Linked DNA regions of Pelodiscus sinensis. The main gene of each other region encodes a partner of the protein of the gene in region 3 in a complex. Links are inferred from orthologs where the notes say so. Each region holds a gene or a part of one and is shown on either strand. Other genes may lie near its edges. The genes, in order: SYT1, VAMP3, SNAP25 and RPH3A.

Region 1 (6,972 bases), on a different chromosome or scaffold from region 3:
CACTATGTTTTAAAGCTATATAGTTTTTAAGCTACATACTTTTCAATTTATGAACCACATACATTGAAATTTTGAGGAACTACATTACAGTCAACTAACATACAATATTGAGTTATGTTCCTTTTGGACACTACTAGCAGAACTACAATTGCTAGTCTTGGAGGAAAAAAGGTCTCACAAACATAAAACCAGGTCAAGTTTTATTTTTTCCAATAAAAGCAAGAATATACTAATCTGACTAATAATAAGAAGAAATAGAAAGAATTTCTTTATCCTTTTCCTCTCTGACCATTTTAACATTATTAATTTCATCCTCTACACATACACCACATTAAAGGTAAATTAAATGTATTGCCCATTGGTCATTGTAGCCAAAAGCTGCCATTTCTTAAAAAAAAACCACACACACACACACACAACAGGAAGGTTATATGTAATGTGCTTTTAAATATTGATAGGAGATCACCCCAAAAACAATTACATTATGTAACTGTGGATGCCACTCTACAAGGAGAAAAGTCTCCTCTTAGGTATACAACTGCTGGTAGCATCTGGTTTTGAAGAAGAAATAACTCTTCTAGATGAAAAAGTACATTTTAAAATGCACAAGAAAGATGAACATGAAACATGAATGGCAAAGGAGGGTACATCTGTTCAGAGGATCAATATGCAGTTTCCAGAATGAGGGTCTACTCATGAGCAACAACACATGTGTGTCTAAAATTACCGTGCTGACATTTGTGTGGAGAATTCAGCATTTGAAAGACAGGAAAATACTACTGAAATACAACATTTTACACTAAATATACAAGGTCATAGTCATCTAAGCACAGAGATCCCTCTTCTTCACTCACAAATAGATATTAAGTAAGAAAAATAAGACTTGTCTTCCCCCTGACAATCAAAAGAAAAAGATTTATTTGTACTCTAACATCTGTCTGCAGATTGTGGCCAAGTGCTTTTCTGTGCTCATTTAGGACTCCACTTGGAAAGCTTTCCAGTTACATTTACCTAGAGATTTCTCTTTACCACTTCCCATCTGACAGGAATCACTCAGCTGGGTCTGATGAATAATGGTAAAAGGCAGCTTGTATCAGTGATGATTGAATTATACTTGTTAAAACTGCCATAAAGGCTCATTCCAATGAATATATTTAATTTACTTACTCTACTCAGGGCTAGAAGCTTGTAGTTTTAAAATAAAGATTTCAGACAAGACTTGAAACAAGAAAAAAATCACCATTTCTTATGAAAAAATATTAAACATTTGTGCCACTTTTTGACTTTAGTCCCTAAACTTTTTGTAATGTGGGAGGTGCCTAAGGTAACACTCATTTAACTTTTAAACAGTCTTGAATCCATATTTGCACTCTCTGTGCCTACATGATATAGAGTGTAATATAGTAGAAACCAAGGAGAAAGAGGCATACAGAGAGGAGGAAAGAGGTGTAATTATTTGAAAAAATCTAAAGAAAATTAATTTGTCAGCTTTTTCTAAGAAAGGGAAGCAGGCACCACGGCATTTAATTAAGTAAAAAAAAACACCTTCAATACAAAGAGGATTAATTTAGTCCTCTACCATCAGAGAAGCAGGTCCTCCAGGGAACAGTGCTTTGAGAACAACACCAATGCTTCAAACAACAAGTCTTAATAAGAACATTATCTGTTCAGAGAGTGCAGGCAAATCTTGGGAAGGATTCCTTCTGTATTTTGTGACTTGAGGTTACAAGTTGTTGCTATTGAAACTCTTTTCCCCCAGTGTCAAACAGTCATGCAAGAGGGGGTAAAAGAAGGTGACAGACACTTTTATAAAAATCAACACATATATTTATTTCTAGCTGAAGAAGTCAAGTGAAAGGCAGATCCACTCGGAAGACGAGTAAAGTCAAGCTGCTTTCCCTCTCTGACAGCAGGAGCTCGAGGATTTGATTACTCTCTTGTAAGCAGTTTGATTGCTTTAGGTTCAGTTTTGTTTTTGTTTTGGGGTTTTTTTTGCCTCCAGTTTCTTTTACCCTGCAGAATCCCACCCCTCCCATGCCTCTTTCCAGCTGACGGGAAAGCAGCCTTCTCTGTGGAGGGAGAAACGCTGGGTGGCTGAGGTCTGCCAGAATTCAACCCAAATCAGGAGACACCGGACAAATTGTTTTCCGGCATCGGTTACCAGGAACATGTGCGCTCTCATCACCGCCCACACAATGGACCACCTGGGTCTCCCTCTCTTTCCCTGTGCCTCTCAACACCCCTCCCCCGCTACGGTAACCACACCATCCAAGTCACTGCAAGACAGCAAACATTGCAGGCAGATCCAGCAGAAGCACTCAAGCCTCTGCCTTACCTGGCAACCAGGGCAGGAGTCTGTTTGTCCTTCGCTGCTCTCGCCTCCTTGTCTAGTAGGAATCACACGCGCGCGCTCTGTCTCTCCCGGGAGGAGGCTGCGATACAAAAAGGTGTGCTGGGCGGGGGGGGGGCAGACCTCCCACATCCACCAGCAAGTCTGTGCACCCCCCTGCTCTGAGCGGGCTCGCTTGGCGTGGGGTGTTAAGTTTCAGCTGCTGCTGGCTGGGCGGCGGAGGAGGCGAGATACTGGGGGCTGTGCAGCTTGTAGAGCATCACCACACTGCAGCTTCTCCAGGAATCCCTCCAGCGCGAGGCAGCCCATCACCCCCTCCCCACCGCCCCGGCCGCCTGATTGGCCGAGAGGCGGGGATGCTGCCTCCGCCATCCAATCCGGCTGCAACAATAATAGGTGGACCTGCTTAGTCGGCAGCGCCCAGCCCAGGGATGTGCGAGGCTCTGTCCCCCCCAGCGGGCAAGGGGGCTGGGAGGGAGTTCCCTGCGAATGACAATCAAGGACATCAAATCAGTCCTCTGGCCCGGCAAAGTGATGACCCCCCCAGCAGCGCGGCAAGCTGGGCGCTGGAAATAGAGCCGGCTGGGTGACCTGATTCGCCCCACCCCCTGGGACTTCAGGCAATTTCTAGTGTGGCATTTACCGACCACAAAGAGAGACACAGGCAGGGAGAAGCAGGAGGTGGGGGATGGGGCCGAGAGGTGAGCAGGAGCCAAAGGCGCTAATAAAAGTCAAAGAGTCAGATAGATCCTTAACCAGAAGCAGAGCCGGAGAGGCGATGGCTGCTGCTCTCCAGACGCAAACTGAGCTGGTGAACTTGTTCTTTTCTCTGGCCCCTTTTAAATACTTTTAAAAAAAATTGCCTTCTGGAGGAGCGTTTTCCAGCCCTGCGGCGTTGAGGGGCTTGTGGGCAGGACCAGCTCATCAATGGCTGCACATAAAATTCGCCATGCATTGAGTTCTGTCTGTTGTTTGGGTTTTTTTCTTTTTACAGAGCACTTTTTATTGGCGTTTTCAGGTAAGGAAATATAAGAGCGAACTTAATTCCCCAGCTCCGTCCACTCTGAACCGGAGCTTTGATTAACATTGGTCTGCAAAATGTAACTGTACCACAAATTCAATTAACAGCAGTACATTTCTTCAACTTTTAATTAGACCTGTCCTCTTTGTCTAATGTTTAATATAACATAAAGAGTAACTCGGAAGTTCCAAAGGGAAATGGAGGTAGATCTAGATATAAATTTGGCTGTTAAAATATAAATAATGGATATAAAAAGAATAAGGTTCCTTCCTGCCTAAATTACATTATTACTGAATGTAAATTACAGGGTGTCAAGAATTACAGGATTTCTCAAAATTGCCAACTGGAAAATGTTATTTCATTTACAAAATTCTATAAATAATAATGTCACATTAATAGAATGCCATTCCTTTTCATAGGTTAAAGGTACCACACCAGGTGCAAAGATGAATCCTAATCCACACCACAGTTTGGCGATGACAGTTATTATATAAAAGCTTTAATGAATGGCAGTATATTCCATAATTACTTGCCTGCTTTTATTTAGAATGCCTAGTGAAAGATGTGTTAACATATATGATGTAAATTATGGCATCTAGCTTTGGGAAAAAGGGCAAGGAGGGGGAGCCCACCAGAGGTAGTGGAGGAAGTCATAATGCCTCATCTGCCCTTGGAAGTTTGGTCAGCAATGAGTCTTACTACAACTTCAGAAAATGGGATAGTCCTCTTTCTCTAGTGGTGTTGTTGAATGGAGGACCCATGGCTGTGCCCCATTGTTAGAATATATGCTGTTTGTCCCCATCAGTGTTAGATTGCTCCCTCTTATAGGGTACATCTACACTAGCTCATTAGTTCGAGCAAGGCAGGGTAATTAGGGCAAGCGGAGTTGCAAATGTAGCCCGGGATTTAAAGATCCCAGGCTTCATTTGCATGTTTCTGGGTGCTGCCATTTTTAAATCTCCCTTAGTCTGAACTCCGTGCCCGCGGCTACGGAGTAGGTAGTTCGAATTAAAGATCCTAATTCAAACTATCGTTATTCCTCGTGGAAGCAGTTTAATTCAAACTACCTACTCCTTGCCGCGTCTAGCCGCGGGCACGGAGTTCGGACTAAGGGGGATTTAAAAATGGCGGCACCCGGGAACATGCAAATGAAGCCCGGGATCTTTAAATCCCAGCCTTCATTTGCAACTCCGCTTGCCCTAATTACCCCACCTAGCTCAAACTAATGAGCTAGTGTATATGTACCCATACTCTCCAGGTCTAGCAGCCAAAGTGTGACTGTTTCTTCTACAGATGTGTTAAACCATGATGGGGGGGGGGGGGGCTGCTTTTACCCACCTAGTGCACCACAGAGGGAGAGAAATGTGGCATTTAACAAATTTCAGAACCAAAATGACAAACCTATTTCCAGTGTCCACAAAACTGCTGTTCTATCTCCAGATCAAAAGACACTGCCAGCTGCTTTTTATATGGCATTTACTTGGTGAGTTAAAAGAAAGCTGACTAGCTCAGTGCCAATAATTTTAAAGATGCAACATTGCATCCCTGACACCCTCACACATGCACAATAAAGTCAGTGGGAATTTTGTGTGCACAGGAATGGAGCCTCAGGTCCTTCATGCTTGAGCAGTGTTTCATTTATGTGATTTAAACCCAATGCACCCCTCCCATGATGCAGAAAGAAAGGAACAAAAATTAGTACATCTGGACAGGGCTGCATGAGAGCTACATAGTTCTCCTTGCCTATCTTAGGGGCTATCCATAGGAAGTTTTCTTTGTTTTAGGAAAGGACATATTGGCTAGGAGCTATGGCTGTGTCTACATTGGTGCGATCTTGTGAAAAACTTGCTGCCTGTCTACACTGGCTGCGAGTTCTTGCGCAAGTACACTGTCATTCTAATGTATGAAATCAGTGCTTCTTGCGCAAGAACTCTGAAGCTCCCACACAGGAATAAGCCCTCTTGCGCAAGAGGCCAGTGCAGACAGGCAACATGAATTTCTTGCACAAGAAAGCCCTATGGTTAAAATGGCCATCAGAGCTTTCTTGCGCAAGAGAGCGTCTACACTGGCATGGATGCTCTTGCGCAAATGCACATGCCAGTGTAGATGCTCTCTTCTGGAAGAGTTTTTGCATAAGAACTCTTCCGCAAAAGAGTTCTTGCGCAAGATCATGCCAGTGTAGACATAGCCTATGTGTGTGTGATGGTGTGGTGGGCATTTGCATCATGCTCCCTCTCTAACCCAGTCAAAAGAGCCTAGGACAAAACATTATTTAGCCTATGGAGTGATGTCTCTATTACCTTAAGCAAACTTCACTCCTCTACTGAACATCTGTCCACTACCCCCCTCTCATCTGGGGAACAAGGTGAGTGTTCAGCCATAAAGAGTGCTCTCAATTGCAAAAAAGTCCCTAAGGAATTCTTATAGCTATGAGAAAAAACAAGTCCTGCAACAAGTCTAGAGAGGCAACCCACAGGACTTGCTTAGGATTAGGCTAAGATTTTGTCAGCCATTTTTAGATGTGAACAAGATCATGTGAGTAATAAATCATAGAAACTAAACCCCTAGGCTACGTCTACACTAGCCCCTTTTCCGGAAGGGGCATGTAAATTTCAGCAGTCGTCGTAGGGAAATCCGCGGGGGATTTAAATATCCCCCGCGGCATTTAAATAAAAATGTCCGCCGCTTTTTTCCGGCTTTTAAAAAAGCCGGAAAAGAGCGTCTAGACTGGCCCCGATCCTCCGGAAAAAGTGCCCTTTTCCGGAGGCTTTTATTCCTACTTTGAAGTAGGAATAAGAGCCTCCGGAAAAGGGCACTTTTTCCGGAGGATCGGGGCCAGTCTAGACGCTCTTTTCCGGCTTTTTTAAAAGCCGGAAAAAAGCGGCGGACATTTTTATTTAAATGCCGCGGGGGATATTTAAATCCCCCGCGGATTTCCCTACGACGACTGCTGAAATTTACATGCCCCTTCCGGAAAAGGGGCCAGTGTAGACGTAGCCCTAGTGGTGGATCTCCTGACTTCATGGGGAGAGGAGGCTGTGCAGGCACAGCTCTGATACAGCCATAGAAAAGTCAACATCTATAGCTACATCACTTGGGGAATGGGGGAGAAGGGCTATGAAAGGACATGAAGCAGTGCTATGTGAAGATCAAGGAGCTGTAGCAGGCAAACCAAAATGTAATGGAGACAAACAGCTTCAGTTCATTGTTAGCAGCAACACCCCTTCTATACCTCCACCAAGGATGTTCACTGAAATGAAAGTGACTCTTCTTTCCTCTTCAAAGTTACTTTTGCTTGTATTTGTAAAGTTTCATTCAGTTTTAAATAAGTCTGTTTGCTTAGGTTCAGAATAAAAATCTATTTATGGAAACTTAATTCATCTTTATTAGTCTGCAACATATGGTAGCTGGGGCTGACATTATTCACAGATAACAGCAATAGGTGCATTTTTTATGTTGTATCAAACATGCAGCACTCCTTATAAGATTCATACCAAGGTGGAAAAAAACCCATGATGGCACAGCACACTGCCACAACATACATCACTGTGCTCATTCTTAAGCCTTCCTAGGCCATATAGTTTCCTGTTGAGCTCTTTTT
Region 2 (6,936 bases), on a different chromosome or scaffold from region 3:
CCTTAGCTCCTCCAGTTCAGCCACCCTGTCCTCCAAAGCCCGAACTCGGTCTCTGAGGGTCAGGAGCTCCTTGCAATGGCTGCACACATACGCCACCTGCCCACAGGGCAGGTAATCGTACATGTTACACTGGACGCAATAAACAGGATAGCCCCCACTCTGCTGCTGGGCTTCTGTCTCCATGTTTGTAATGAATAAGTTTAAGTATAAACTGGGATTCTTTTTAAACTTCTGGAGTATAGATTATTCTAAGAGTTAGGTTTTAAAGAAGGACACAAGTCACTAGTGCCCTCTAAACTCCCTCTCCAAACTCTCCTGTTACCTGTTCCTGGTCATGCTCTCCCTGGTCGCTGAGTCACAGGCTTATATAGCTCTGGTAGTCCCTCCCCCTGCCTGAGGCTCGGCCAATTAACAGAGGCTTCTAGATTTCAAACCTTTTAGAAGCTCCTTCAAACAAACAAACCAAACAGACAAACACAAGCTCAGCACACTGCAAACTCCCCCCCACACAAACACACACTCCAGACAGCCACTTACCACAAGAGTCCCGTTTTTACTCCTCTTTTACCTGGAGAACTCCCTCTCCAAACTCTCCTGTTACCTGTTCCTGGTCACGCTCAACACAATTAGTTGATAAGGGAAAGCACTACCCCACTCTGACTCAATTAGCCTCATTTTACACAAGTACCCTCGTTTGTTGTATGTGTGCAAATTGTGTGTGCATATATCTACACACACACACACACACACACAGCCCCTCCCTCAGTAAATTCCACTCCAATACATCTGATGAAGTGAGTTTTACCCATGAAAGCTTATGCCCTAACAAGTCTGTTAGTCTCCAAAGTGCCACAGGAATCCTCAAAGTCACTATAAACACCCTGCGGAGGCCAATTTAGAAGATACTCCATCACACTGTGACATTTTAAAAACAACACCAAATTACCATGTTTAATTCATAAAAGAAAACAGCACAAAACCAAAAGAAAACAAAAAATCCCCACAATACCTCTCCCTCAACCAGCTAGGCCAAAGAAACAAAAGGCTATACCTTTCTTTTGTTTAAAAGGCTCCCTCACTAGCTAGTGGCTCAGATGAATGCCTTTGTTTATTTCACAGCCATCAGTCATGGAGTCAAAGCAGAACCAGAGTTTACACCATCTCTGCACACTATCTAGAAATAAAGACTTTTTTGACTCAGACTTTAAGGTCAGAAGGGACCATTATGATCATCTAGTCTGATCCCCTGAACAGTGCAGGCCACAGAATCTCACCCACCCCTCCCAGAATAATCCTCTCACCTAGATCTCAGATATTGAAGCCTTCAAATACTTTGAAGGCCCCAAGATGCAGAGAATCCTCCAGCTGTTATCTGTGCCCCATGCTACAGAGGAAGGCGAAAAACCTCCAGGGCCTCTGCCAATCTACCCTAGAGGAAAATTCCTTCCCGACCCCAAATATGGCGATCAGCTAAAGCCTGAGCATGTGGGCAAGACTCACCAGCCAGACACCCAGAAAGTTCTCTAGAGTAACTCCTATCATCCCTCCATTGGCCTATTCCCACTGATAATGAATGGTCAATTAGTTACCAAGATCATGTTCTCAAACCAACCCCTTATCATAGAACTGGAAGAGACCTCAGAAGGTCATCAAGTCCAGCCCCCTGCTCTAGGCAGGACCAATCCCATCTAAATTTCTGTCACCCTAATACAGGGGCAGGCAAAATATGGCCCAGAAAACTGCAAGATCCGACCCAGTACCATGCTGTGGACTAGCAGGGGCTTCAGGCAGACTCCCTGTGCGCTGCCTCCACCCAAGTTGCTCAAAGTGGCTGGCTGTGGTGGGGGCCACCTGCCCGTGGCCCTTGCAGCTGACCACAAGGGCCCGGCAAGTAGGGAGCCTGCCCGTGTCCACTTGGCTGCAGGCCAAGAGCAGCCACCTAAATGAGGCACCGTGTAGCCCGAGCCTGGCCCCCCCCAGACGCGCCCCCCCCATGTAGCCCGAGCCTGGCCCCCCCCAGACGCGCCCCCCCCATGTAGCCCGAGCCTGGCCCCCCCCAGACGCGCCCCCCCCGTGTAGCCCGAGCCTGGCCCCCCCCAGACGCGCCCCCCCATGTAGCCCGAGCCTGGCCACCCCCCCAGACGCGCCCCCCCCATGTAGCCCGAGCCTGGCCGCCCCCCCAGACGCGCCCCCCCCGTGTAGCCCGAGCCTGGCCGCCCCCCCAGACGCGCCCCCCCCATGTAGCCCGAGCCTGGCCCCCCACAGACGCAGCCCCCCCCGTGTATCCCGAGCCTGGCCCCCCCCACGCGCCCCCCCATGTATCCCGAGCCTGGCCGCCCCCCCAGACGCGCCCCCCCCATGTAGCCCGAGCCTGGCCGCCCCCCCAGACGCGCCCCCCCCATGTAGCCCGAGCCTGGCCGCCCCCCCAGACGCGCCCCCCCCCATGTAGCCCGAGCCTGGCCCCCCCCAGACACGCCCCCCCATGTAGCCCGAGCCTGGCCCCCCCCAGACACGCCTCTCCCGTGTAGCCCGAGCCTGGCCCCCCCCAGACGCGCCCCCCCCCGTGTAGCCCGAGCCTGGCCCCCCCCAGACGCGGCCCCCCCCGTGTAGCCCGAGCCTGGCCCCCCCCAGACGCGCCCCCCCCCGTGTAGCCCGAGCCTGGCCCCCCCCAGACGCGGCCCCCCCCGTGTAGCCCGAGCCTGGCCGCCCCCCCAGACGCGCCCCCCCGTGTAGCCCGAGCCTGGCCCCCCCCAGACGCCCCCCAGCAACCGCCGAGAGCTGGGCGGCCGCAGGGCCCGTCACACCCTCCCCGGGCCCCGCACTCACATGGCGGCGGCGCGAGCCTCTGCGGGGGAGTCTAACGGCGCGAGGCGACACACAGCACTGCACCGGAAACCGCCGCGGGGCAGGCGGGCGCGGTCCGGATGTGACGGTTGGGGGGGCGGGGTCGGACACGCCCCGCCCCCAGCCCCGCCCACCGACTGCTCCCGAACATCGCGTGCTCGCCGCGTGCGCCTGCGCCTGCGCCTGCTGCCTTGGGCACTGTAGGGGCAGGGGGCGGGGGCTTCGGGCTCCTGTGTGTCCCGGGGGGGGTGGGGGGGACAGGCGGGGGCGGGTGTCTGTGTGTCCCCGGGGGGGGGGGGACAGGCGGGGGCGGGTGTCTGTGTGTCCGGGGGGGGACAGGCGGGGGCGGGTGTCTGTGAGTCCCGGGGGGGGGGAACAGGCGGGGGCGGGTGTCTGTGTGTCCCCGGGGGGGGTGGGGGGGACAGGCGGGGGCGGGTGTCTGTGTGTCCCCGGGGGGGGGGGACAGGCGGGGGCGGGTGTCTGTGTGTCCCGGGGGGGGGGACAGGCGGGGGCGGGTGTCTGTGTGTCCCTGGGGGGGGGAACAGGCGGGGGCGGGTGTCTGTGTGTCCCGGGGGGGGGAACAGGCGGGGGCGGGTGTCTGTGTGTCCCGGGGGGGGGGACAGGCGGGGGCGGGTGTCTGTGTGTCCCGGGGGGGGGAACAGGCGGGGGCGGGTGTCTGTGTGTCCCGGGGGGGGGAACAGGCGGGGGGCGGGTGTCTGTGTATCCCGGGGGGGGGAACAGGCGGGGGCGGGTGTCTGTGTGTCCTGGGGGGGGGGAACAGGCGGGGGCGGGTGTCTGTGTGTCCCGGGGGGGGACAGGCGGGGGCGGGTGTCTGTGTGTCCCGGGGGGGGACAGGCGGGGGCGGGTGTCTGTGTGTCCCGGGGGGGGGACAGGCGGGGGCGGGTGTCTGTGTGTCCCCGGGGGGGGGGGGACAGGCGGGGGCGGGTGTCTGTGTGTCCCGGGGGGGGGAACAGGCGGGGGCGGGTGTCTGTGTGTCCCGGGGGGGGTGGGGGGGACAGGCGGGGGCAGGTGTCTGTGTGTCCCGGGGGGGGGAACAGGCGGGGGCGGGTGTCTGTGTGTCCCCGGGGGGGGGGGACAGGCGGGGGCGGGTGTCTGTGTGTCCCCGGGGGGGGGGGGACAGGTGGGGGCGGGTGTCTGTGTGTCCCGGGAGGGAGGACAGGCGGGGGCGGGTGTCTGTGTGTCCCCGGGGGGGGGAACAGGCGGGGGCGGGTGTCTGTGTGTCCCGGGGGGGGGAACAGGCGGGGGCGGGTGTCTGTGTGTCCCGGGGGGGGGGAACAGGCGGGGGCGGGTGTCTGTGTGTCCCGGGGGGGGGAACAGGCGGGGGCGGGTGTCTGTGTGTCCCGGGGGGGGGGACAGGCGGGGGGCGGGTGTCTGTGTGTCCATGGGGGGGGGACAGGCGGGGGCGGGTGTCTGTGTGTCCCGGGGGGGGGACAGGCGGGGGCGGGTGTCTGTGTGTCCCGGGGGGGGGAACAGGCGGGGGGCGGGTGTCTGTGTGTCCCGGGGGGGGGGACAGGCGGGGGCGGGTGTCTGTGTGTCCCGGGGGGGGGAACAGGCGGGGGCGGGTGTCTGTGTGTCCCGGGGGGGGGGGAACAGGCGGGGGGCGGGTGTCTGTGTGTCCCGGGGGGGGGAACAGGCGGGGGCGGGTGTCTGTGTGTCCCGGGGGGGGGGAACAGGCGGGGGGCGGGTGTCTGTGTGTCCCGGGGGGGGGGGAACAGGCGGGGGCGGGTGTCTGTGTGTCCTGGGGGGGGGGGAACAGGCGGGGGCGGGTGTCTGTGTGTCCGGGGGGGACAGGCGGGGGCGGGTGTCTGTGTGTCCCGGGGGGGGACAGGCGGGGGCGGGTGTCTGTGTGTCCCTGGGGGGGGGAACAGGCGGGGGCGGGTGTCTGTGTGTCCCTGGGGGGGGGAACAGGCGGGGGCGGGTGTCTGTGTGTCCCGGGGGGGGGACAGGCGGGGGCGGGTGTCTGTGTGTCCGGGGGGGGACAGGCGGGGGCGGGTGTCTGTGTGTCCCGGGGGGGGGAACAGGCGGGGGCGGGTGTCTGTGTGTCCCGGGGGGGGAACAGGCGGGGGCGGGTGTCTGTGTGTCCGGGGGGGGACAGGCGGGGGCGGGTGTCTGTGTGTCCGGGGGGGACAGGCGGGGCGGGTGTCTGTGTGTCCGGGGGGAGACAGGCGGGGCGGGGTGTCTGTGTGTCCGGGGGGGGACAGGCGGGGGCGGGTGTCTGTGTGTCCGGGGGGGGACAGGCGGGGGCGGGTGTCTGTGTGTCCGGGGGGGGACAGGCGGGGGCGGGTGTCTGTGTGTCCCGGGGGGGGACAGGCGGGGGCGGGTGTCTGTGTGTCCGGGGGGAGACAGGCGGGGGCGGGTGTCTGTGTGTCCGGGGGGGGACAGGCGGGGGCGGGTGTCTGTGTGTCCGGGGGGGACAGGCGGGGGCGGGTGTCTGTGTGTCCCGGGGGGGGACAGGCGGGGGCGGGTGTCTGTGTGTCCGGGGGGGGACAGGCGGGGGCGGGTGTCTGTGTGTCCGGGGGGGACAGGCGGGGGCGGGTGTCTGTGTGTCCCGGGGGGGGACAGGCGGGGGCGGGTGTCTGTGTGTCCCTGGGGGGGGGAACAGGCGGGGGCGGGTGTCTGTGTGTCCCGGGGGGGGGACAGGCGGGGGCGGGTGTCTGTGTGTCCGGGGGGGGACAGGCGGGGGCGGGTGTCTGTGTGTCCCGGGGGGGGACAGGCGGGGGCGGGTGTCTGTGTGTCCGGGGGGGGACAGGCGGGGGCGGGTGTCTGTGTGTCCCGGGGGGACAGGCGGGGGCGGGTGTCTGTGTGTCCGGGGGGGGGACAGGCGGGGGCGGGTGTCTGTGTGTCCCTGGGGGGGGACAGGCGGGGGCGGGTGTCTGTGTGTCCCGGGGGGGGGACAGGCGGGGGCGGGTGTCTGTGTGTCCGGGGGGGGACAGGCGGGGGCGGGTGTCTGTGTGTCCCGGGGGGGGGAACAGGCGGGGGGCGGGTGTCTGTGTGTCCCGGGGGGGGAACAGGCGGGGGCGGGTGTCTGTGTGTCCCGGGGGGGACAGGCGGGGGCGGGTGTCTGTGTGTCCGGGGGGGGGACAGGCGGGGGCGGGTGTCTGTGTGTCCGGGGGGGGACAGGCGGGGGCGGGTGTCTGTGTGTCCGGGGGGGGACAGGCGGGGGCGGGTGTCTGTGTGTCCGGGGGGGGACAGGCGGGGGGCGGGTGTCTGTGTGTCCGGGGGGGGACAGGCGGGGGCGGGTGTCTGTGTGTCCCGGGGGGGACAGGCGGGGGCGGGTGTCTGTGTGTCCGGGGGGAGACAGGCGGGGGCGGGTGTCTGTGTGTCCGGGGGGGGACAGGCGGGGGCGGTGTCTGTGTGTCCCGGGGGGGGGACAGGCGGGGGCGGGTGTCTGTGTGTCCGGGGGAGACAGGCGGGGGCGGGTGTCTGTGTGTCCGGGGGGGGGACAGGCGGGGGCGGGTGTCTGTGTGTCCGGGGGGGACAGGCGGGGGCGGGTGTCTGTGTGTCCCGGGGGGGACAGGCGGGGGCGGGTGTCTGTGTGTCCGGGGGGAGACAGGCGGGGGCGGGTGTCTGTGTGTCCGGGGGGGGACAGGCGGGGGCGGGTGTCTGTGTGTCCCGGGGGGGGGACAGGCGGGGGCGGGTGTCTGTGTGTCCGGGGGGGGACAGGCGGGGGCGGGTGTCTGTGTGTCCCGGGGGGGGACAGGCGGGGGCGGGTGTCTGTGTCCCCTGGGGGGGGGGACAGGCGGGGGCGGGTGTCTGTGTGTCCCTGGGGGGGGGACAGGCGGGGGCGGGTGTCTGTGTGTCCCGGGGGAGGACAGGCGGGGGCGGGTGTCTGTGTGTCCCGGGGGGGGGACAGGCGGGGGCGGGTGTCTGTGTGTCCCTGGGGGGGGGGACAGGCGGGGGCGGGTGTCTGTGTGTCCTGGGGGGGACAGGCGGGGGCGGGTGTCTGTGTGTCCCTGGGGGGGGGGACAGGCGGGGGGTCGGGTGTCTGTGTGTCCCTGGGGGGGGGACAGGCGGGGGCGGGTGTCTGTGTGTCCCGGGGGGGGGACAGGCGGGGGCGGGTGTCTGTGTGTC
Region 3 (7,999 bases):
TTAGAAGGGCAACACTTTCCTTTCTCCCTTCCTCTTCCCCGCTCGCCCTTAACTCTTGCTGCCTTTCCCATCTTTTTACTCTTTTTTTTTCTGTTTCTCTCCCTTGAAGGAGCACTGTGATCTCATCCTCACCTCCCTGGCAGCTACACATATCCCATGGCCCCTAAATGGTGTTACTGGACTCTCAGCCCTTGCTGGGAAGGGGCTGCAGTCCCGTCATTCTATCCAGCCAGCTAGTGTCATGGTGCCTGCAAAGGTCAAAATTGCCCTCACACCAGCACTGAAGTTTGAGCCACATTTTCCACCTCTGATGCTGACCAGCAGGAAAATTACAGTGCTTACTTATATAATGAAAGAGGTGCCCAGGCGCAAGCAATTAGGTTCAGGGACTTCAATATTTTTTTTATACTTTCAAAACAGAGGTGCCAGGGATCAACTCCACTGGCACAAATTAATCCCTGGAAAATTACCTTCCCTGCAACAGTAATAGTGGAGCAGTGGTCCTCCTCCACCCTTTGTGAGGTGCATTTCCAAGTCCTGCCTGCTCTGCGTAAAACCAGGCTGGAGCGCACCCAGCCTGGAGGAGAGAGCAAACCCGTCCTGTTCACCCACTGCTGGCAGCAGACAGAACCCAAACAGACATGACCGATTTCCTGCCAGGTCCTGCCTTTCTCCAAAGGCTGGAGCTGAAAGCCCAGGGTAAGAGGGGCAGGGGTCTTCTGGCTTCCCAACACTCTTTGATCTCCTTCCCCTTCAGGGTAGCCTGCCAGGCAGACCCAAGTGAATATACAGAGTCTGGTATACAATGTGAATTGTCCTGTTGGCTTGGTGAATGTGGCAGCAGGAGGCTGGAACAATCTGTGCATCCACTGACTTTGATCTTTATCTACTCAGGTTTAGCACCCTTTCTCTAGATACTTTATGCACAGAGGTAGGGAGTGGGTGACAGAACATCTTTCTTACCCCCCCCCCTTTCCCTTCTCCTATTTATTTCGAATTTCCTTATCCTCTAATCTTAACTCCGGTCATCTGAAGAAGTGGGCTGCGCCCATGAAAGCTCACGATCCCATCTACATGTTTCGTTAGTCTATAAAGTGCTACGAGACCCTTTGCTTGCTGGTTTTTTTCCCCTATAGGACAGAAGCCACTTCAAACGGGGGGAGGGGGGTTGGCAGCAAGGCGCCCTCCCCCCATGTCTATTTCCGGCCCCTCTGCATGGATGGTGGTTTTCTCCTGGGGGTCCTTCTGCATCTCCACTAGCCTCCGGCCTGTGCGGATGTGCCTCCAGCCACCCCCCTGGCATCACATGCTCCACCCCTGCAGGAGCCCAAGGAACGTGACGGCCACAATTCACCCAGGTTTTCCGAGCAGCCCAGGGGGAGACACTGGCCCCCGCCTCCTCCCTTGGGCGCCACTGCAGAGGCCCTCCCCCGGCGGGGAGCGAGCCCAGCCGCGCTTCACTAATGCCCGAGCAGCACGTCCAGGGGGCAGCCGCTCCAGCAGCGCAGCTTTGACGCAGCGACGCCAGGGAGCGGGCGGGACGTGCAGCAGCAGAGGCGGCCGATGAAGTTGAACCGGCCTCGCCCCCCCCGCTACCCCCCATCCCGCGGGCTCGCCCTGCAAAGCGACCCGCCCGGCCGCCTGCCTCGCGCTGGGCTCTGCCCCCGGGGGAGCGCGGCCCGGTTACATAAGGCGGCCCGCTCCGCTCGCGGGGCTCTGCAGTCCCCGGGCAGCTGGCGCGCGTGTGTGTTCAGTCCTAGGGCCAGGGGGGTTTCACACGGGACCCAGGCACAGGCTCGGCGCCGCGGGACTCTCCAAGGAGACTGCAGCCAGCGGGTCTCCGGGCAAGGGGGCGCACGGCCCGGGGGGAGACCCGGTCCGATCCCTACAGGCGGGGGTACATCCGCCCCCGTCCCGCCCCCTAGCTCCAGGGAGCCCTCCCGAGCGCTTTGCTTTCCCCGCACCCCTCCTGGTGCGTTAGAGCAGCAGAGCACGAGTGCCCGGGGCTCGCCTGCAAAGCACAAACACTACCCCCCCCCCCCCCCCCCCCGCTACCGGCAGCGCCGCGGGTTCGAGCCCCGGGCGAGCTCGCTGCGGCGGTGCAGCCGGGAAAAGCGGAGAGCCGAGCGGGCAAGCCCAGCCCGGGCTGCTGGATTCAGAGGCGGTACAGGGCTGGAGGGGGGAGGAAACTGGCGAGCGATTGATTTGGGCAGTCGACCGGGCTAGAGGGAAGCGCCTTGGGAAGGTACAAATAAGACCCGAACGGGCACTTCACCCCATAGCCCGCTGCCGTGGAGGTGATGGGGGTGGAAGGGCAGGCGGGGGAGGGCGTTTCTCCTTCACTCCCTCCCCAGGACTTTGCAGCGTGTCACAGGGACGCGGCTCCCTTTGCACCCGCGCTGATGCTGCACGGTGCTCACAGTCCCCCTAGCGCCCCTAAACTTGCGGCCCGGCGCTAGTCGCTCTCCAAGGTCCTGAACCGGGCTCTACCCCAGAGGCTGCAGGCGAGCGCCGCTGGCCAAGGTGCTGACCCTCCCCACACACACACACACACACTGCTGCAGTGGGCACAGGGCGACCGCCCGGTGCTGGAGGCTATTGACCCCAGGGAAACAGAGGTGCCACCTGCTCCCTGTCCCCCAAGGGAAGGGGGAATAATGCAGCGGTTATTGCATGTCCACTGCCCGCCCGGTGCACACAAGCCAGCTCCGCAGCCCGTTTTTTTGGGGTGGGGGGGAGGGAAGCCCCACAATCAGTCCCCGAGAAACAATGCTCGGACAGAAGGTGTGGAGGTTACCGCTCTCCTCCCCGCCTGCAGCAGCGGCCGTGCCCGCGGACACAGGCAGGAGACAAAAGGCTGTGTCCCGGCGCGCTCCCTTACCTTGGCTTTTGCAGGCAGGCTCCGGTGCAGGCAGCCCCGCGGCCGGTTCTCAGCCCGGCTGCTGCGGCTCCGGCTTGGGAGGAAAGGACAGTCGCTCCTGACCTCCCCAAGCCTCCTTCTTCAATGGAATGGGAGCTGTGCCCTCATCAAAGATGGCCGTCCCTTCCCACGTCAGCAGCTTTTAATAGACATCTATCAGGGGGTGGGGGGAGGAGAGGAAGTGGCGGGGGGAGGGGGGAGAGAGGCAGAGAGTAGTCTGCGCGAGCCTGAGGCGTCAGAGGCTGCTGCTGCAATCCTTTGCATTTCGCCTCCAGTTGACTAACAAGAGACGCCAGAGAAAACCACCCCCCAAATTAGCTCCGCAGAATCCAACCCGCCATGTGATGGGCTGGGATCTTCCAGGGTGCCCCATGCAGCCGCTGGTTTTCTGTGGCAAGCGGGGGGCCGATTGATGGTGTGTGTGTATAGGGAGGGGGGGGGTACTTTGCTGGAATCATTTTTTGGAGGGAGAGGAGAATGCAGTAGTGATTTGTTTTCGCTAAAGGGGTGGTCCGAGAAGGGTATCCCTGTGAAGTCTCTGGTACTCCATATATGGCCAGTCTACGTGGGTTGCTATTTTGGTGTGTGATTTCTTAGTTTTTTCCCCCTTCAGAGCATCATGCCAGGGGAAGGGGGGGGGGGGGTGTCTCTATGTATTAATCTGACCAATTTTCCTCCTAAAAACCAACCAACTCAAAGATACTCCAGATTTTAAAACACGCGAATTTTGTTATCTTTTCTGGGGGGGAAATCAGAGAGTAAAAGAAACCCGTCCCACCAGGGATGCAAATGGTTAATCCGTTCCAAGAGAAACGGGATGCTATTTGTTATTAATTAACGGCATGATCATTTCAGAGCGCACCTTATTTGGAACAAATCGAGCTGTCTTTATTTAATTTGAATGTTAGAAGTGGAAATTAAAAATGCGCTGGGGTTTTTGGTTTCCTACAAAATATTGGCTGTTTTTAAAATGAAGCATTAGTGTCGACTTCGTACCATCGACTAGAGCACGCATTTTATTCTATACAGAGTTGAGAGTTCTCTTATATAACTAGCCAGATCTGCAATTAAACAAACATAAACCAAGATGCTTCATTCATTTCCCAGGCTCAGCCATTCTTGTCAACAGGAACTATTCGGTGACGGCTCAGTGCGCATAAGGGAAATCCTGACTTTTTTCCCCCCAAACTAATGCGTGGATAATATTGAGTCAAAAAGCAACCCCCCGATTAGGGAACATTCTAACCTAATCAAGTTCGTATGGCGTGGCTGGGAAAACCCGGAGAGACTAAATGCTATGCAGCTGTATTTGCATCTCCTGTGATTGTCTGGTGGAGCGTGTGGGAGGGAAGAGAGAAAAGCCGGTGATTTCTCCTCCCATGCTCTGTTGTGCCCCACAGAAAAACGTGATTGTCGATCGTGCCTAGCAATCACAGCAGCTGGCATCCCCTCCCACGAAAATATGTCCTCTTTTGGAATAAGACATTCAAAAGTTTGCTAATTATACCACACAAAACATTCCCAGACAAGAGGGGCTCTTTGATAGAATATCCCATAATCTATGCACATGGAAGACCCAGGAGAGGAAAAAAACCTGCCAGTTTTAAGGTCTGCAATAATAATGATATTACATAATATAATGAATTATAATTAATGTCTGTATATCTCCTCTATCCAGTTAAGACATTTGGGAAAATATCCCTATTAATACTATTTAATAAGGAGATTTATTAACACAAATGCCAGTTTTGAAAAGCAAGCCATTTCTATCCCGGTCCTGTATGTTTTAACATTATCCATTGTTTTGCTTAGGTGAAGATTCTAGATAAAATCTAGAATGTTAAAAATACAGAGTCAGCAGGCACATTTATGAGAGTTTGTAAATTGTCAATAGAAATCTAAAGTAAAAAAAAATTAAACAGTCTATTAGACATGCACTTTGAAATGAAGTTTGATTTCCAGTGAAGCAGTTAATAAATAATGTGCAATAATTAACAATAAAGAAGTGAAACTAAAGGCAAGTTATAAACTGCTGCTTTGATTAGGTCAGTAGCACTGCAAAATCCTGATTGGTTTTGTGCCAAAGAATGCCTTTGAGGAGCACTAAAGCCCATTAGAATTAAACCAGGGATGAATTTGGTCCATTATATAAAAAGTTGGGAGGGGGAGAGGAAAGAGTGCTGTTGGCAACATAAAATTCAATGTTAGAAAAACTATGCAATTCCAACAGCAGACTTTGTGACAGGGGAAAAGAAGAGGAAATGTGCAAAAAGTGAGATGTCACAGATGGAGAATATCTTTATGCAGACAAAAGAATTATTACAAGTTCAATTGTAAGAAAATTGGATTGGAATATAAAATGAGCTTTCAAGCCCCACTGCACCACACTCATATTTTAATAAAACAAAGTGGGACAGTTTGATTAAATAGACCATGCACAATGACTGGTAGTTCTAATAAGAATAACCATCCATCTTGTTAAAAAATCTCAGAGGGGTAACCCTGTTAGTCTGTAACTTTAAAAACGAGTGGTCCTGTGGCACGTTAGAGACTAACCAAAATATATAGCATCAAGAGCTTTCCTGGGCAAAACTCACTTGTTTATGTCTAATGTTATATGGGTAAAGGATATGTTAGATGTTGTTTACAAAGGTGGAATAAGTTGTTCTGAGACATACAAGAAAGCAGCCTTTTGCAGCTAAGTACTAAGAAATCTATTGAAAGAAATGCTGCTAAGCAAATTTTAGCTGATTCAGTAACACTTTTGTGATACTCAGTTTAAAAAAATGAACTAGTGGGATGCATACCAGTTTATCATCTGTTTATGAAAACATTTAAATATTCATTGAATAGCAAATCTGAGAACTGATAGAAACGAGGCCTAAAAACAAGATAGCAGGAGAGACTGAAGAAAGGAACCGAAATTGGCTCCAGGAATGATTCAGCTATTCAGCCAGCTGAAGAGCTAGTGCATTCAGGCACAATCCATGAGTAATGAGAAAATGAACTTGCTTTGCTGGATGCAAATGTATATTATATTAACAGCATTCCTACATTATTGTCAGTGAGTCTACTGAGGATATTGAATGCAGAGCCTGTGAACACACTGATAGTGTGAAAACCACAACACTTTTGTTTCATACATCATTCAAGAATCAGAAAGATGGTGAAAGTTGTCCAGCTGGTTTAAATAAAATCTTTCCTCCTCTTCAGCCTCCTAAAATCAGAGTAGGCTGGGTAGAACTACACACAGATGCACACACACCTCTCTCCCTGCCTCCCTCACTGAAGTCAGACCCCCAAATAGACCCCCCAGATCATCCCCCTACATTTTCCAAGACTAACATTTTTGTGAATGGCTGTTTGTGGATGTATTTATTTGTGCTTGAAAATATATAAGCTGGTAGTAGATTCTCTGGACTTGCCAAGAAAGAGAAAGAGCTTTTCTCTTTTGGAATGTGAATTTTCACAGAGTAGTTGAATGTCTGAAGACACATCAGTTTCCGAACGTTGGCGCATAAAATGACGCAACGAAATACACATTTTGGCATCTATATGTAAGTGGCCTACTTTTTAGAGCTGCTAAGCAATAGGAGCTGTGCTTGTTCTGAAAATTGAGCCATTTTTATTTAGGTGCCCAGATATTGCCTGAGATCAGTGATGGGCAACTTAGGCTAGCGAAAGGGCTACGTAAGTGGCCCTCTGTCATCTCTGTGGGCCTCAAGACTATTGTAACCAAGACAGTCTCCCAGGATAGCGTAGTTTTGCGACCTGCGCTGGCATACCTAGAATTTGCAGGGTGTGCTGGCTAAACCATAGCAGCACTCTGATTGGATGCTCATGTCTCTGACAGTCAATGTTGCGTGCAATCAGCACGCACCTCATTTCATGTGTCCTTGTTTTACCTGAGTGTCACGTTAGCAATACCAGTAGGAAAAAAATGACACGGGCAGAAACAAGTGGAATCTGGCAACTCTGCATGTGGGCAAGGATAAACAAAATGTTTCACAGGCCACACATACTCCCAGAGGTGCTTAACATTATACATCCAAATTTTAACATTTTGCCTACACCAGATAATGCTTTTGAAAGAACAGGCAGTCAATTCCCCTTATTTTTTACTTTCTCATCAATATGATGAACTACTTTGCCATTTACATTTGTTTTGTGCCTGAATATTAGAGGAGCTGAGCATTGCCATGGGAGATGTAAGTGATCTGTATATCTCAGGATCAAGACCTTTATGTAGCTGCTTTGTATCTTACACTGAATTTGGTGGAGAGACATAAATGAGAGAAACAATTACTTACTCCAGGCTGTATGTGATTACATTTTCACTTGATCTAAGCTGTATTGTTTTTACACCTTCAGTAATATATTATTTTCAAAGAGTTAATCTGCAGTTGCTTACTCAAGATTCAACCCAGCACATTTGCATACCCAAGATTCAGTTCAACCTTATTTAGTGAATATGTAAACAGAATTTTCAGTTTAAATCTCTATTGTATGGCCTGCTTTAATGCCCAATGAAATGAGTGGACAGATTTCCATTGACTTCCCTGTGCCCTAGCTAAAGAGAGGAAGCATTCTAGCTTAAGGTACTAGCTTAGGACTTGGGAGACCCTGGTTCAAGTCCTTGCTCTACCAGGGACTTCTTGTGTGACTTCGGGCAAGTCATTTAGGGTATGTCTACACTACCCCCCTAGTTCGAGCTAGGGGGGTAATGTATGCATACCGAACTTGCTAATGAAGCCCAGGATTTGAATTTCCCGGGCTTCATTAGCATAAAGCCGACGCCGCCATTTTTAAAAGCCGGCTAGTGCGAACCCCATGCCGCGTGTAGCCGCGCGGCACGGGGTTCGCACTAGCCGGCTTTTAAAAATGGCGGCGCCGGCTTTATGCTAATGAAGCCCGGGAAATTCAAATCCCGGGCTTCATTAGCAAGTTCGGTATGCATACATTACCCCCCTAGTTCGAACTAGGGGGGTAGTGTAGACATACCCTCAGTCTCTTGGTGCCTCAGTGCTCTATCTGTAACATTGGGTTACCAGTACAAGGGTGTTGTGAGAGTGTATTAAA
Region 4 (7,284 bases), on a different chromosome or scaffold from region 3:
AACCATAAAATGAAAATAACACCAACCATTATTGACATGGTAACTTGTGCAGGTTTTGGTGGTGTAGACACTCAGCACTGGGCTGAGCCTGTCAAATTCATTTTATGTATTGCAGCATTTTTTGCATGATCAGAGTATTTAATTCTTTTAGGGAAAAGAGAAGGGGAAAGCTTCCTTCCTCTGGAAACTTGAAAAATAACTGACAGAGGAAGATTGTAGCTCTTGCTCTTAACTGTAGCAAGAGTGTACTACACTGTAATTTCTTGGAGTAGATTTATGAATACCCTAGTAGAAATTGCTCACAGATTTAGCTTGTACCTTGTTTTCTTCTCTCCTCTGGATTTCAATTTAGGGAAATTTTCCTACTCTGACAAAACCTCTTGAAATGAAGAGCAAAGGAACAAACTGAAGATGAGAGTGGGCAAAAAGGAGCTAGGTTGAGCTCTCCAGAAACTTGAAAGGGAAAACAAATAACCATAACAACGTGAAGTGCAAAATATGACCTGGAAACAAACAATATATATCACTCCTAGACTCACCAGTGGTTGAATACATTGAACAAATTGTTCATGGCATTGTTCTGGTTCATAGCTAAGTTTGGAGTTTCCAGTATCTCAATTAAAGATGTCCTTTTATATGGGACACATAACTGATATTTATAATGCTCTACTAGTTCAAATATTTGGTCCCCTTTACGGGACCAAAAGTCAACTTGAGCAGAATAATGGTTGTCTCATGTATGAAATGCAAAGAGCAGATGAAGCCAAGAAGAAAACCGTTTTTAAAGTAAAAAATAAAATTGACACCATAGAAATAAAAGCAGCTGGATTATCCAATATGTAAATTGACTAGGGATAAGCCAGAAAAGGAGTATGCAAAACAAAACAAAACAAAACCAAACCCAGGAAGGAAAAGACTGTGTGTTGCTCTGCAGGTATCCAAAATCTCACTGTATGTATTCTTTTGTGTGATGACTGACAGCCTTGAAGTTCTGATATCTTGACTGCCCCCATTCAAATTAGCAATCCCATGAACACTACATTGGTCACAAGGAATGTGAGGAAATACTCATCTTTTGGACAGTGGATGAATTCGCTTTGTGATTTGGCAGGAGCAGCAGTAAAGAAAAGAGTAGAGAGAGGACATTATAGCCCAGCCTCTGCTTAGATACATGGGAAATGGACAGTCCTAACTGAATGAGAGTGAGATTTGCCTGTAACCACAGGAGAAAAGTTTGCAGATTATCTATAACCACAGGCACATGTCTGCAGTATTGGTGTACATGAAACTACTTTCCGTGAGGTAGGTGCCCATGTTTTCTTATTTTGTAACTGGGTACTTCATCTTCATATGTTTAAATTTCACTCACTGAACTTCCACCATTAAGGTTTCTGAATAGAGATCAGAATCTGGCCCATGATTCAATTTTGTTTCCATTAGCATGAGCCTCAAAAGCCAAACCTCTTTTTTGAAGCTTAAAATGACAAAAGGGTTGTAGAGCAGCTAGCCTTAAAAAGAGGGAGAGGAAATTAATGCTTCTCTCTGATTGTCAAGCCAATAATCTTGAAAAACTGAATTGCACATTTGTTTGCTTTTTGTTTTAGTGATGAGGATTTTGTGTCTAAGGACTAGCCCATATGAGGGGAGAGTCTCATCTCGAATCAGTCAGTATTCTTCCCATAATAGACAGATGCTCCTATATCCAGATTCTCATACATAAGGAAGTAGGCACCTGCATATCTCTAGTAACAATTCTGATTGGTTTCTCTAGGCAGAAAATCTCTTTCCAAACCATTGTATACACAAGACAAACCAAGGAAAAACTGGAATATTACTGCCAAAAGAGACTGGCAGACATTCACATGAGATTATTTCTTGTGTTTCTGGCCAGCCTCTGATTGGGAGCAGGGCCCCTTGCTGGGCATGAGCATTTGCTGTAAGTTAATGATTGCTGAGTGATTTTAAAAAGGAAATAATTGTTGCACATTGTTGTAGGTTAAGCTTTTTTTGGGACAGGGAGTATATTGTAGTATATATTCATACAGTTCCTGGAGCAAAAAAGCCCTTGAGTTGAGGCCTTAAGAGGCTACCACAATAAAAAGCCTAATGAAAATAATATAGTCTGTTCCTGGGACTCAGCAGTGAGTGTGAAAACCATGATGAATTTGCCCAGCACCTTTTTGGCTATGGGGAGGGACCATTTGCCCCTTGCTGCTATGGTGGATGGGGGATATGTATAAAAAGTAGGATTTATGACCGTGGTGGGCAACCTGTGGCTCATCAGAGTTCTATGTGTGGTCCACAAGACATTTTGTTTGCCATTGCCCATGTGCAGGGATGCCAGATTCTGCTGAGTTTCATCCGCATTGTTTTCTTCCTACTCGTATTACAAAAGTGACACACACTTATTACTGATTTAAATGGTTGCAATGGAAAACAGATCAAAGTGCATTACCAAGCCAAAATAAACAAAACAGGCCAGCTAATCTTCACTTACTGCAAAACTTATTATATGCAAATTCTTACCCTAACAGTTGTTCCGATTATCCCTTTAGGCAACCTTCTAGCTTGAGCCCAGTCCTGCCCCGTGTTCAGTATTAAATGTTTCCAGCAGGTATGTTGGGTGGTAACTCCAGGGTCTCCTGGAATCTGGCCATTCCCAATATTGTTTGGTTTCCTCATTATATCCTTTTTGCCCAAGGTGGGAATTCTTTGTGCTCACTTCAAACTTTTCTCACCTTGAGTGGAAAAGCACCAAATCCAAAATAGATTACAGCATCAGGTAGCCTGACCACATGTTTTTAATAGGACCAACCACAATTTGGACTTACAGAAAAATAAAACCATTCACAGGCTATTGACCTGATCACCAACTCATCAAGTTCCTAAAGTTTCACTCATGGCTCTTTCTAGAATACCTGGAGTAATGAAACAGATATCACAGACAAGAAGGCCACATGCACAACAACAGATATACAGATTCAGTGGATTACAACTTTTAAAATGATATGTTACATGATCTGTTTTGCATAAAGTGTCTGAACTATGCATATTCATATTCATAAGCCAATTATGTCAAAGCATGGGGGGGCTCTGTGACATCATGCTCTAGCCTTGACCCCGCCCTCAGAGCCAGCACCCCTCCTCTTGCACCCCTGAACCTCAAATCCCTGCCCCAGCCCAGAAAAAGTAAATGAGGGTAGGGGGAAAGGAGAGTAACAGAGGGGGATGGAGTGAGCACAGGTAGGGATGTAAGCTAGTATTTGCTTTCCACCCTCCTGGCTGCCTCTGTATCAGAGGCAGCAAGGGGCTGGGAAACAGAAACCGATGCTTAGGGGAGGTAGCTTAAAAGCTGGTTCCCCCCAGCACCATCTCTGTGATGCTGCCTTCCTCCCCCTACACCCTGCTGCTGTCTCTATCAGAGGCAACAGCAGGATGGGCAGGGGAGGCTGCTGCAAAACAGCCTCTGTCCTTGGGGGGTGGGAGGTCACACGTAGACAGGGCTGCTTCCTGCATGCTTGACTCCTACTACATTTAAACTGCAGAGCCACAGCGGGGTAGCCCCTACAGTACAAATTGTATTGACTACTCAATTAGTCAATTACCTGCCTCTTAATATCCTTAAGCAGATCTTTGCAGAAAGGGTGAGGCTTGAGGGACAGGACAGGGTGGAACTTGAGCTGCCCTTAAATTCCAAAAGCGATCTTGGGCATAAATAGGTTAGGGACCTCTGAGCATAAGCTCAGCACGGGGCTGTTGTGTATGTAGATGGTGATACAGACTCTTGAGTGCAGTCTTGGGGTACATTCTCTGCCCATTATTTCATCAATAGGGGAGGCAGGGAAGGTCAGATTAGATGATCTAACAGTTTCTTCTGGTCTTAAAGTCTGCATATCTCTCCAGAATTGTGCGTGGCACTGAGCAGCCATTGATGTTCCCATGTGTAGCCTGCTTGATCCCCAGAATTAACACTGAGTGAGTGAGGGTGGCACAGGAGCGCCTGGCACTGGCCACTGTTAGCACATAGGATACTGGCCTAGATAGACCTTTGGTCTGACCCAGTATGGCCATTCTTATGTTCTTATGTTTTAAGAGAAGCAGGAGTTGGCCAGGGACAGGACATTAGCTCTGCAGGGCAGGCGTGGGTGTGGCAGTGACATCACAAGGGCCTTTTTCAGCCTCTCATCTGATTGGCTAAAGGCAGTTGGGTGGTGGGGACTTCACAGAAAGACCATGACATCAGCCTGGTGGGACTGGCTGCAGGGCTGGGGCAATCTCAGAGACCCTCCTGACTTTGCTAGGGGAGACGTCTTTTGAGGTCTGCCTTCGAGGTCTGAGAGAATTCAGGGTGATGGCATGAGCACAAGGAGGAGGCTCCTTGGGGGGTTTGGCCTTTCCCATGACTAATTGAGCTAGATGACAAACATCCCTGAGGAGAAAGTAAATCTACGAGAGGTTTGTTACTAATGCAGCCTGATCCATCTGATGCTGGCCAAATTGAAGGCCAGGAAACACACTAAGGCTACATCTGCACTGCAGAGCTATTTCAGGATACCGGAAGTATCCCAAAATAGCTATTCCATGTCTTTAAAGCAGCCTGTTATTTTGAAACAGATTTTGAAATAATGGATGCACTATTCTGGCGTAGTGCAAATTGCATAGCTTGTTTCGAGGTAAGAGTGCTGTGTAGATGCAACCTGGGTGAAGGTGGGAGAATTTTTTCCCACCTAGACCTTTGTCCCTCATCACTGGAGGCATCGGAGTTCATCGTATTTGGTTTTCCTTCGGTGAGGAGGGGGCTGTTCCTTGACAAAGGGATGGGACGGGAAGAATGCTCTGAGTGACTCCCACTGGTGACCTGAGCCATCTCTGGGCCATTTGAGGGGAACCCACAACTGCCCTGCCCTCAGAGTCTCAGTGATGATTGGCTCAGTGGGAGAGGGGGCAGGACAGTGACCAGGAGGAGACTCAGGACTTTTGTTGTTCTCTTTAAGGCCTGGCAAATGAGACAGAACGAATCATCAACGGGGAACTGTCCTGCTCCTCACCATTGATTATCTCTGATCAGTTCCTAAGCCCCTTCCCCACCACCGACATTCTTCTGCTTCTAAAACATTTGGGCTGTGTCTACATTGGCACCCTTTTCCAGAAAAGGGATGCTAATGAGACAAGTCAGAATTGCAAATGCCGTGGGGGATTTAAATATCCCCCGCGGCATTTGCATGAACATGGCTGCCGCTTTTTTCCGGCTCGGGGTTTTGCAGGAGAAAAGCGCCAGTCTAGACGGGATCTTTCGGAAAATAAAGCCTTTTCCGGAAGATCCCTTATTCCTATTAAAATCAGGAATAAGGGATCTTCCGGAAAAGGCTTTATTTTCCGAAAGATCCCGTCTAGACTGGCGCTTTTCTCTGGCAAAGCCCCAAGCCGGAAAAAAGTGGCAGCCATGTTCATGCAAATGCCGTGGGGGATATTTAAATCCCCCGTGGCATTTGCAATTCCGACTTGTCTCATTAGCATCCCTTTTCCGGAAAAGGGTGCCAATGTAGACACAGCCATGCTGAATGATCATTAGGACGAGTTGTGGGTCTGTAGCGCCTTGAGATCACTTTACTCGGATCATTCAGTATGTGAAACTCCAGACTGAAAGCCAGGGCTTCCGAGTCCTGTTCCCAGTGTTGCCCCAACTGTCCATGTGACCTAAGATAAAGCCCTTTGCCTTCCTCAGCCTTTGTTTTCCCCTCTGTCAATTAGGTGCAACTATGTTCTCTAACTGTGTCATGGCTGGGGAGCTGTGATGATCCATCTGAGAGCGTAGCCAGGAACAATGTATCATGTAAGGTGGCTTCTCACATGGAGTCATTACAGGACCAGCTTTCCATGTTAACCCAGCAACACAGGCTCGGAAGGCACACTGTGTTTCTCCTCACACTTTCTTATTCTCCTCATGATTGTCTGAATTTTTGATGATCTGATCTGGCCTCGGTCCCAATTCGATGTGATAAATGGGGCTCTGCTGTATAATAGCTGAAATAGTCAATTTTATTGGTATTTTATTATGTTTAGATCATTAAGAGGAGCAACTCCTTAACCCGGGCCAAAGCATCTTTCCGACTTTCTGAACCAAAGAGTCTCCTCTCTGTGTGTGAGGAGACAACCAAACAGTATATGACAAACAGGAGAGGCTTTTCTTTTGTTTAAAAAAAAAACTTTTTGCAAAGAATTTTCATCCATATTGAGTCATGATTTCAAAAACCAATGTGTCCAATGAGAGGTGCGCCACTTCTGTAACTCCCCACAGAGGTGAGGCTGGATGAGAGAATGGGCATTAAAGCACTGTATGGAGGAGAAAGGGCTGTTTCATGGTGTTGCATGCCAAGGCATCTGGAATTTGCTAAAGAGTCTAGCCCAAAGAAAGAAGAAATGGCCGGGGACAAAGCCCACTGTAGGGTGTCAATGAGAGAGGCCAGAGCGTGTGTCTGAGGTCTCCCCAGTGCTTCACACACCTCACTGTGCTTTGACCCCTGCATCTTGGCAGGGGGCCCCCAGAGAGGAGGAGTAGGAGGCCATTTTGCCTCAACACTGGGTAGGCCTGGAAAGGAGAGACTGGAAGATCCAATTTTCAGCCTCTCCTGCTTGCTGGGATCCCACTGGGCTCTCCTCATTCAGAGCAGTTAGTTCCCCCCGCTCCCAGGAGCCCCTTCCCTGTGGCTGGCCCTGAGCAACACAATGCCAGGCGCTTGGTGCATCCAAGCCCATTTCCCAGTGTGGGTGCTGGAGGGAGATGCAAGGGGTCAGGGATGAAGGTGGCACATGCAGATGAGGGCCCAGAGTGGAAGGACAAGGGAGGGGGGCACATGCAGGAAGGGCAGGAGTTGGGGCGAAGGCGGCACCATGCAGAGGTTAGAGGCGAAGAGGGAACAGGGCAGGGATTAAGGGTACAGTGTAGGCATTAGGGTGCTGCAGGGGAGCAAGAGTCAGTGTGATGGAGTGCAGAACTTAAGGAGCCTATGGGTGTCAGGGGAAATAAGGGAACACCATGTTCATAGGATCATCAAAATTCAAATTTGCTCAGAGTGCTATTTTCCCTAAGGCTGGCCCTGACCCTCCATACTACAACCTCCTGACTCCTGCATACCCACAACCATCCTGTCCTGAGCCCCCACCTCTGCTTTGATTCCTGCACCCCCCATGCCACCCTGCATCCTGTACTCCCACCTCCACAACCTCTGGCTTGAGCTACCACCTTCCCCCCACAAACACCTCAATCCCCTTGCCTTTGGTCTC

What was found.
Region 1: the proteins of SNAP25 (region 3) and SYT1 are in contact, whole or in part, in a crystal structure (PDB 5KJ8), measured with the Rattus norvegicus proteins. The link is inferred for Pelodiscus sinensis from reciprocal best matches to the Homo sapiens genes SNAP25 and SYT1. Residues at the interface, in NP_112253.1 of Rattus norvegicus: Lys40, Asp41, Ile44, Leu47, Val48, Asp51, Glu52, Glu55, Gln56, Arg59; in NP_001028852.2 of Rattus norvegicus: Cys277, Arg281, Lys288, Val292, Leu294, Glu295, Asn336, Tyr338, Asn340, Arg398, Arg399, Pro400, Ala402, Trp404.
Region 2: the proteins of SNAP25 (region 3) and VAMP3 are in contact, whole or in part, in a crystal structure (PDB 5KJ8), measured with the Rattus norvegicus proteins. The link is inferred for Pelodiscus sinensis from reciprocal best matches to the Homo sapiens genes SNAP25 and VAMP3. Residues at the interface, in NP_112253.1 of Rattus norvegicus: Asp147, Leu150, Glu151, Val153, Ser154, Ile157, Leu160, Arg161, Ala164, Leu165, Met167, Gly168, Ile171, Asp172, Gln174, Asn175, Ile178, Asp179, Ile181, Met182, Ala185, Asp186, Asn188, Lys189, Ile192, Ala195, Asn196, Ala199, Thr200, Met202; in NP_476438.1 of Rattus norvegicus: Ser15, Arg18, Leu19, Gln21, Thr22, Gln25, Val26, Glu28, Val29, Ile32, Met33, Asn36, Lys39, Val40, Glu42, Arg43, Lys46, Leu47, Glu49, Leu50, Arg53, Ala56, Leu57, Gly60, Ala61, Gln63, Phe64, Ser67, Leu71, Lys74.
Region 4: the proteins of SNAP25 (region 3) and RPH3A are in contact, whole or in part, in a crystal structure (PDB 5LOW), measured with the Rattus norvegicus proteins. The link is inferred for Pelodiscus sinensis from reciprocal best matches to the Homo sapiens genes SNAP25 and RPH3A. Residues at the interface, in NP_112253.1 of Rattus norvegicus: Glu38, Asp41, Ile44, Arg45, Leu47, Val48, Met49, Asp51, Glu52, Glu55; in NP_598202.2 of Rattus norvegicus: His617, Ser618, Ala621, Ile648, Ser649, Ala650, Lys651, Gly652, Leu655, Tyr659, Leu662, Lys663, Lys665.

The regions. Positions count from the first base shown.
Region 1 is NC_134711.1:69,980,070-69,987,041, reverse strand, and holds the start of SYT1 (synaptotagmin-1), read right to left. Parts: upstream 3,001-6,972; 5' UTR 2,336-3,000; intron 1-2,335. UniProt on the Homo sapiens protein: Calcium sensor that participates in triggering neurotransmitter release at the synapse. May have a regulatory role in the membrane interactions during trafficking of synaptic vesicles at the active zone of the synapse.
Region 2 is NC_134733.1:25,559,934-25,566,869, reverse strand, and holds the start of VAMP3 (vesicle-associated membrane protein 3), read right to left. Parts: upstream 3,020-6,936; 5' UTR 2,829-3,019; coding exon 2,827-2,828; intron 1-2,826. UniProt on the Homo sapiens protein: SNARE involved in vesicular transport from the late endosomes to the trans-Golgi network.
Region 3 is NC_134713.1:189,935,138-189,943,136, forward strand, and holds the start of SNAP25 (synaptosomal-associated protein 25), read right to left. Parts: upstream 3,016-7,999; 5' UTR 2,882-3,015; intron 1-2,881.
Region 4 is NC_134725.1:35,604,065-35,611,348, forward strand, and holds the start of RPH3A (rabphilin-3A), read left to right. Parts: upstream 1-4,267; 5' UTR 4,268-4,455; intron 4,456-7,284. UniProt on the Homo sapiens protein: Plays an essential role in docking and fusion steps of regulated exocytosis.